Saccharomyces cerevisiae S288C: one gene and its partner. The gene in region 1 interacts genetically with each later gene. Each region holds a gene or a part of one and is shown on either strand. Other genes may lie near its edges.

Evidence for each region. A genetic interaction does not mean that the proteins touch.
Region 2: mutations in MCH5 (region 1) and ATG45 together harm fitness more than expected from each alone (negative genetic interaction), as found in Saccharomyces cerevisiae (one large-scale study listed by BioGRID).

Annotation. Positions count from the first base shown.
Region 1 is NC_001147.6:888,576-894,452, forward strand, and holds MCH5 (riboflavin transporter), read right to left. Parts: upstream 2,858-5,877; coding exon 1,292-2,857; downstream 1-1,291. Other genes in the region: BIL1 (Bil1p), read right to left, coding at 1-175; RRG7 (Rrg7p), read left to right, coding at 447-1,175; SLY41 (Sly41p), read right to left, coding at 4,156-5,517. UniProt on the Saccharomyces cerevisiae protein: Riboflavin transporter involved in riboflavin (vitamin B2) uptake. Does not act in the transport of monocarboxylic acids across the plasma membrane.
Region 2 is NC_001141.2:308,102-310,885, forward strand, and holds ATG45 (Atg45p), read right to left. Parts: upstream 1,071-2,784; coding exon 501-1,070; downstream 1-500. Other genes in the region: Zn(2+) transporter YKE4, read right to left, coding at 1,285-2,325. UniProt on the Saccharomyces cerevisiae protein: Autophagy receptor for glycogen that facilitates the sequestration of glycogen assemblies into autophagosomes as part of bulk autophagy; the autophagy of glycogen (glycophagy) is stimulated during prolonged nitrogen starvation and during sporulation.

The DNA of each region.
Region 1 (5,877 bases):
CATCATCATTTTCCTTCATTTGCCTCTGAACATCCTTTAGTGATTTTTCTATTTCATTTGCCAGGTCAAACACGGTTACAATATTTTCTGTATCTCCCTTTATTGAGTTAGTCTCAGATGTATTGGCCAAGGGAGCCTGTGGTTCCTCCGAAGCTTCCAGTTTTTCAGTACTCATTACAGTGCTCCTTCAGAAGATGCAAGTCACATTTACAATATCATTTAGCGCTAAGGTAAAATGTACCTGTAAGCCAAGCCGCTTCATTGGTTTGCTAGTTTTTTTTTTTTTTTTTTTTTTTTCAAATTATTTATCGAGGCCAACTGAAAAGCAAAACAACATGGTTGATCGATACATAGAAATTAACGACCAGGAAGCGAAATACTGCAGCAAATTTCTAAAGCTTCTTCCTATATAAAACACGGTAAAGAACGGTAAAACATGATAAAACATGATAAAAAACTATTTGGGACGAAGATGGCTCAATAATCCTGCAATTCAAGCATATGTGAAACAAAATGCTGCTGTCGCCCATTCTACGGTGTTTCAAGGAAATCTTTATGAATATACGGTGATGAGGGAGTTATCTGAGAAACTACGAATGACAAAGTTGAGAAAAACCGGTGGCGCCCATGATGGTGGCGTAGACATAAAGGGAAGCTGGCCAGTAGATGATATTTATTGGAAAATTTCATCGTTAATGCCCAATTTGGAAATGGCTAGTAACATAAAAAGAACGAACTCGCAAAATGGCTTCGTATTGAAACCTTTAAAGTATAGGATAATCGACCATACTTTTGAACCATTGAAAGTACTAGTCCAATGTAAGGCTTTCACTAAATCAAAATTATCTCCTAGAGAATTCCGTGAGTTAGTAGGAACATTCACCTCACTAGTATCACATAGTCAACGCAACAAAACAGTATGCATTATGTGTTCCCCTCATATGTTAACAAAAGATACCTTAAATCTTATCAATAACATCACGCTTCCTCTGATATATTTACGTGTTGAGATGCTGAAAGAGAAGACTGACGGGCACTTTGACTTAATCAATTCAGGAAAACTAATTAATTATTACGAGAATTCATACGCCTCTACGTTAATGCAAGATTGCAAGATTTCTGAATGGCTGAAGTTGAAGTTGTACAAAAATAGTGACTTTAATTCGGAAAAATAAAAAAAAAAAAAAAAACATAAGGAAATTTTAATTAAATAGTCTATCTACACATTTCCTAAAAGAAAATATTATTGCATTACTTTTTTGAAGATCTATAAAGGGCACTGTCTTACTTTTTAAAATCTGACCCACTTGAAGCCAACACAGTATGCTCTCGAAATTATGTAGCAAACAGCGCTTACAAAAGTTGCCAAACCGCAAAAAATAATATAGTGTTGGTAATCGGCCGTTGTCTTGATAGAGATAATGGCACCTGTTATCGGAATGCCGACTAAAGTACCGAAACCGACAACGAAGTACATTGTAGAGTAACGTTTACCGAACTCTTCCGTTTTAGATATCTGGCCACAGCAAACAGGAAGTAAGGAGAAAACGCTTCCAGAACAAAATCCATATAGGGCACTAATAACGTACATATTTGTCAAATTGGTACCAAATGGTAACCAACCAACAAACATGACGATAAATAGAGTGAGTAGAGTTGCAATTGCGACGTTAAACCTACCGAACTTATCGCTCAAATAGCCAGGAACCCATCTCCCGGGTATGCCGCAGACATTTATAATCATAATCAAGGTGTAGGCGTCATTAGCAGAAATTCCATGGCTGGTGGCGTATGATCCATAATAAGTAAGAGCTGAATTAATGGATAACTCACTAAATACCGTTCCCAGGACACAAAAAAGATATTTCATATCCAGGAAAGCCTTCGCATCAAAACATTGCAGAATATAAACTCTGAGTATGTATCTCCAACGTGACTCACCATCTTTGGAATTTTCGATAACATGTGGTAACCTCTCTTTGACTAAAATGATTGACAGAGTTAGCAAAGCCAAATCTAAAAATCCTAAAGTTCTAATGCCCCAAACAAATCCATAAGTTGGATCAGTGTCTGACTTCATAGAGAAGAAACTACGCAACATAATTGGGAAAACGACGCCACCCACACTACCACCAATAGTGGCCATTGCCAATGCAGTACCACGTCTCTTAAAAAAATAGTGGGCGGGAACACTTACTAGGGGACTCAGTACAATACCATTACCGAACCCGCAGACAATGGCAAAGGACAGTATGAAGTGCCAATATTTAGTAGAGTTGGCGGTAGCGAACAGACCGGCTACATGAAAAACCGTGCCCACAATCATAATTGTCCTAAATCCATTTCTATCAAAGTAAGTACCACTAATGATACATGAGGCAGAGCAAACAAAAAGAAACAAAGAAAACAGCCAACCAATGGTAGAAACACTTTCACTGGATAATTGATTGTCCTGTAGATGACTTTCTATGACCCCCGTTGAGTTTAATAAACCAAAGCATGCAATTAGACCCAAGAAGCAACCAAATGTCACAACCCAAGCCTTGAATCCACCCTCCGGGAAGCTTTCAATTTCTTCATTGGAATCTTCTTCTTTGTCACTGTCGTGCGTGCTCGAGGTATTTTCACCCCAATGTGGTTGGCTTTCAATGTCAGTTCCTTTATTTACTTCCTTCTTGGTATACACCTTTGCCGACACCGACGTTGACGCGTAAGAGGCAGTAGTCTCTAATGACTCTAAATCATCAGCTTCTGGATCATAATGTATGCTATCCTCATCTAAATCAGGTTGCCGCAGTTGGTTGGTTTGTTCTTCTGGAACTATAGTGTCTTTAGGCGTTAAACTGTCTGAGCTCATTATTTTTCTTTTTAATCTATAGTAAAATCAGAGCTTTTTAATCGATAGTATGCCCCCGTGATCTTAGTTATTCAGATCTTAGTATGTTTTTACAGATATAACCTATCCTTCACTAACTTTGAAGAGAGAATTGCTATTTGAGAATTTCCAAACGTACATCAAGCAGTTTATATATCTAGTCCCCGTAACTACTGGGAGATCTAACCAAATAGCTTCTTTATTATATTCATTTCTCTGAGCAAAATAGATATTTTTGAAAAATTTTCCTCTAGTTTCTTTTCAGAGATGTCTCTCTATTATTAGCCTCATACAATACCGCCTAGGGCGATTCAGCAGAACAGTAATTATTCCGCTGTATTTCTTTTTCAGGTGCCTCAAACGTCTATAGAACAGCGCGCAGCAGGTTGAGAAAAATGTCAAAAATTCGATCCTTTCCTATCTTTTCTTTTTCGGACGCCAAAGCGCAGTATTCAACCGACGATGTTCGGGAAGCCACCCCCGAGATCATAATAACAGGTGCGTTGTGACTCTATTGTTAACACGAGGGAAAAGATGGAATAATTTTGGAGAAACACAATGTCGTTCTAGCGGGAAAAAAGGGCAAAACCAAAAAACACGGAGTCTGTCCAATATTAATTTGGTTAAAGCAGTTCGTATAACCAAACTTTATTGGCATTGTCCGTCGACTAGTCTATTTTTATTTCTCTCAACCTTTCGAGTACTTGGAAAAAGGAGTAGATCCGCTTTCAGCAATCGAAGCAATAGGCATTAGGGGTAGAGCAATCCTCAAAATCCTTGTGCCTCGACTGTGGGTTCTAGTATGATCGCTATTTTTTCTTATTCTTTCCTAGTTAAAGCAATAGTTGTTCGTTCTATAAGTTTTTCCGCGAGATCGTGGAAATACCTTAAAAAAGACGCGTGTATGGCTCCTGCATGCGAATCTTCTCTTTTGCTTTGTAATCGCATGTGAGATAATCAAGGGATTGTAGCCATTGTTTTCGAAAAATAATAAAATGACCGCACTTTATCCTCCACGGAGCGGAAGGCCATTCCCGTACGCATATTAATGTAAATGAGATAAATAACCAAATAAGTACCGCCACATCGGATTTTTAACCTTGATATGGTGCGGGGGTGGGGTAACAGTTTAGGATCTTGAAGTAATGCTAGCAACAGAGGTAGTAGCAGTAAATAAGATAAAAAAGACCTTCGAGGGTTTTTTTTTTGATTATATATTTGATATAGTACTAAGTGTCCTACCTTGAATGATGGTTTGTACTCAATAGTATTACTTCATATTATGCCTGACGTCCATCTTTTTTGGAAAGCCCCCATTTGTCATAACCGTACAATCCGGCAATTGTCAAGATAACACCAAACACCTGAAAAAAATTTAACTTTGTTTCCCAAAAGAGTGCCACGGATATAACAACAATCCTCTTCATGATGTTTGCTACCGAATAATTAATGGAAGATAGTAAACCGATCAACTGGAAAGCAAGCATTGCTTGGAAAAAATGGGCTATTCCATGAATCGCTACAAGGGCTACTGTTTCTAGCGTTAAATCGTTGATAACGCTACCGCCATGCATTAATTCGCCGGTTAAAAAAGGTAATAGGGTTAAAGAAAACCCAATGCAGGAGCAGTAGAACAATATGGTAATCTTATCCACTTGCAATGGAGAAAATCTTGTTTTGTCTAGACTCGGTTGCCCTTCCTTCGACGTGACGTCATCCGTAGAAGAAGACGGCAGTATTCCTACCTTCCTTCTGATGGTTAAAATATTCTTTGCAAAAATATTCTGTGCTACAAATATTATCATGGAAATAAAGGCAAAAAGCAACCCGATTAATGAAGATCCGCTTTTGTTATCTGAAGCCCTCTTACTGCCATGTGTTGACCAGCAAGTAGTCATAACGCCAAAAATTAAAAGTAACAAGGTATAATAAGTCATGGAATTGTAATAACGATGTTCGAAAAATTTATAGTAGCCAACTGTTATTATTGGGGATAATGCCTTCACGGAATGCACTAGTGATACTGGTATCATAGATACCGCCTTGTGCGATGTGATATGACCAATAAATTGGAATATTCCCATAGGGAAAGTGGTCATCAAAACCAGCTTTGAGGGAACTAAAAACTTGTGCAGGATAGAACTCCTGAAATTGCCATCGAGATATTCAGGAAGGATACCGTCAGGGAAACTATTGAGTGCCTTTGAAAACTTCGTATGCTTCAAACGAGGTAGTCGGAATAAATTTACGATGGAAGCAAATCCAACACATAGAACAGCACTAACAAGAAATTGCAATTCTGTGAGAGCTATGGGATGGTTGAAAGTTCTTAAAATGGCTTTAGATAGGTTACTTGAAATAGATGACGTGACGTACCATATAGAACAAATAATGGTTATTCTTAGGTCAACTTCAGGTAAGTACCCTTGTATATTACTAGGAAATAGTTGCGTGAATCTTTTTTTAAGGCTAGTAATATCATATCCAAAGACTTGATTACTGAATGTCTCCTTACTGTATTCTTTTTTTTGGTGTTGGAACCCCCCACGTGGTGGTTCTGGTATTTGATACAGTGATGGATCAAAGAGGTTTTTATGAACAGAATTACGTCGTTTGATCGCTGTACTTTGCGTTTGAATCATGTTAGGCCGGTATTGTTTCTCCTTTATAAAAACGAATGGCTCCTTATTAAACACTTTTATCGTCAATCCACTTACTCTCTAAATATCGTAAGCTTTGCATATATAAGCATATAATAAAAATAGTTGGTATATGCTGCACGTGTAGTCTAATGTTCTTTTCTTTTTTTTCTTTATTCTTTTTTCTCCTCTTTATGAATACAGATATTCAATTTTTTGAATATCTGATTGTTTTTATTTTCATTTCAATTTTTTTTTTTTTTCAATTTTTTTTATCCGATCGTTGCGCCAAGCTTCTATCGCTTAAAACAATGACACTTCGCTGTGAAATGACACAATGGCTTGAGATTCAGGCACAACGCA
Region 2 (2,784 bases), on another chromosome or scaffold:
CTAGGCAGGATAAGTACGAGCTTTACTTCATGCTGTGCTGGATAAAGCACAACTATCTAACTTGTGTGCTAATCGTCTAGCTGACCTTAATTTACTCTCCTATCGGTAGCAGGCTGCTTTTTTTTTCGTTACGAAACTTTGCTTTGATGAGGATAGACAATAAATGCTTAAAAACAGAGCTTCGTAGGATGAGTCGATTAGACGTTTAGTTGCTTGCAATGTACCAATACGCAAACCCCTTCCTTTTCCTTTTTTAAATTGATCTTCCTCTTTTACATAAGCAGTAATAATGCCAGATCTTTTGCCGTTGTCTGTTGGAGCCTGTGTACCTCGGCGGCTAACAGCGATGATTATTCCACGAAATGAGATGCTCACCTTGTGATATAAGTGAAAAGGAATAAATCTATTAAAAATATGTATATCTAAACCATAGCTAGATAGAAAAGAGAAAATTGAAATATATATATTTGTCATAAAAGAAACATGTTTGAAAAAGTTGTCTATTTGTTCCAGTACGTCTTGACTTTCTTGGCAATGCACATTAGCCCATTTAGAGACTCTTTCCTGCTATTGAACGCCTGATGGAAATCACACTGGATGGTTGCATCCATGTTTTCGTCCTCCATATCAGAATTCCAGCACACTATCTCCTCTGTGCTGCTTAGGTCACTATGTGACGACAAGTTGACATAATCATTTAAAGAGTCGTCTTCCGGTTTCCCTTTTGCGGTGTTGGACCGTGTATGTGGTGATAGAGGTATATCCATGAGTTGACTGGCCTCATTGTCCTTAAAGTGGAGAATATTGTTGGTGTAACCTGACTTGTCTGTGACAGTGTCGAAGTAGTTGAGAGTGACCCATTTTTTGTCGTTTATCACCACTTTGAACATGGTGCTACGTTGGCCCTTTCTTCTGGGAATTTGCACCCTGTAGTTCTGTGTGCTGCCGTCATACTGCAGAACATAATCGGAATGTCTCCAGTTATCGAATTCTCCTGTAACAACTAGTTTATCTGCCTTGGAGCAGCCCTTGATCACGTCTTCAGGGATCACAAGTAAAAAATTGGACATCTTTAAAACAGTTGTGCACGCCTTTAAACCGATCAATACTGTTCTTGTTTGTGTTTCTTTTTTGTATTAGGTCAGAGATAAATGTTTGATCTGATCTGATTATCGCCTGTTTTTGCCTTAATTGAAATCCGGGGAAGCGTCGGTACCATATAAGGCAACAAGGATATTTACTATAAAGGTACGTATATTGCACGCCAAGTAATACAAAGCTGAATCAATGCTCATCCATGAGCGCCATAACGGCAAATCCTACAAAAATGAAGACTAGCTGCAAGGCCCACTTCTTAAACTCTCGAAGCTTGCTATCGGGTGCGGAGCTATGTAAGATCTGCGGTACAACGCTAGTAGTGGCTATGTATATGAGGCCGCCCGCCGTGAACGGCAGCATAAGTTCAGATGCGTTCGCGGATGAAGACGTTGCTTTATGGCTGTTGTTCCCGATTTCGTTCATCCAGCAGCCAATGGACGTTCCAACGACGGCGCCGAAAGCTGTCACCGCTTGGGCTCTTATCGCTTGTGGGAACGTAAACCCACTGGAAAGCAGAATGGCGAAGTCACCTAGCTCATGAGGGATCTCATGGAAAGTGACAGCTATGCTGGTCATTATGCCAACTTGTGTGGAACTATAGAATGACGTAGCCAGCGCTATGCCATCCGTGATGTGATGAGCAATGCCGGATATGACATTCAGATACGCAGACATGTTAAAGCCCGCTTTCTTCTCTGCAGTTTGTTGTGGAGTATGACTATGAGAATGAGAATGTATGCTGCCGTCATCGTTGGACGTCCCTGACAGAATACGCATCGTTTTATCCAGAGTCAAGAAGCTTATAAACCCCAGAAATATGGCTCCTCCAACCATTGTGACATCAGTTACGCCGCTGAGACTTTCAGGTATCACGTGTAATAAAATATCACCCAGGAGTGTTCCTAGAGAAAAGGAAACTAGTAAGGACAGTGTCAAGCTGGCACGATCGTTCTTGCGCAGTCCAGGAACAAACAGTACGAAAAGACACGGCATAAGTTGTATGATTAGGATAGCCACAATCGCATTGTAACGGGGTCCCAGGACAAAGAGGTGGTTCTGCAGAAAGCAAACTAGAGAGTAAAAAATGGATTCTTGCTTCAAAATCAAGAAACTTTGCTTGGACTCATGGTTTGCCTCGTGGCCATGATCTCGATTATGATGTACTCCATGGGACACCACTAGGGGTGCAATGCTTAGCAAATAAGAGCAAATGTGCGACGCCTTCATGCTTTTTCTGCTTCTGTTCTCCTTCTATTTCATTCTTATTTTCTTCTTTCCTTTTCCACCTTTTTCCTAAGACGTTTTTTTTTTTCAGTTTACTGTTCTATGGAAAGGGAATGAATAATAATCCGGAAAACTATATATTGGAAGAACTGGCACAGTTTGGTTCTCCGCAGAAATTCTACTAAATTACGTATAAATTGTGTATTAGAAGAAATTCAGAAACGAAATATCTGAACAGACCTACTTTAGTATTTTTATATGATAACTTTTTGAGTTGTATCCTTTTCTTCATTTATTTTTAGAAACTTTCTTTTTTTGGCCATAACATAAAATTTAAATAACGACGCTGAAACAAAAAGAAAAGAACACCACGACTAATAAAACAAAATTAGAACATTATGATTAGGTACTTCTTCAGTACGCTTTTCAAGCTACTTCTTACGATAAGTAAACTTCTCACCT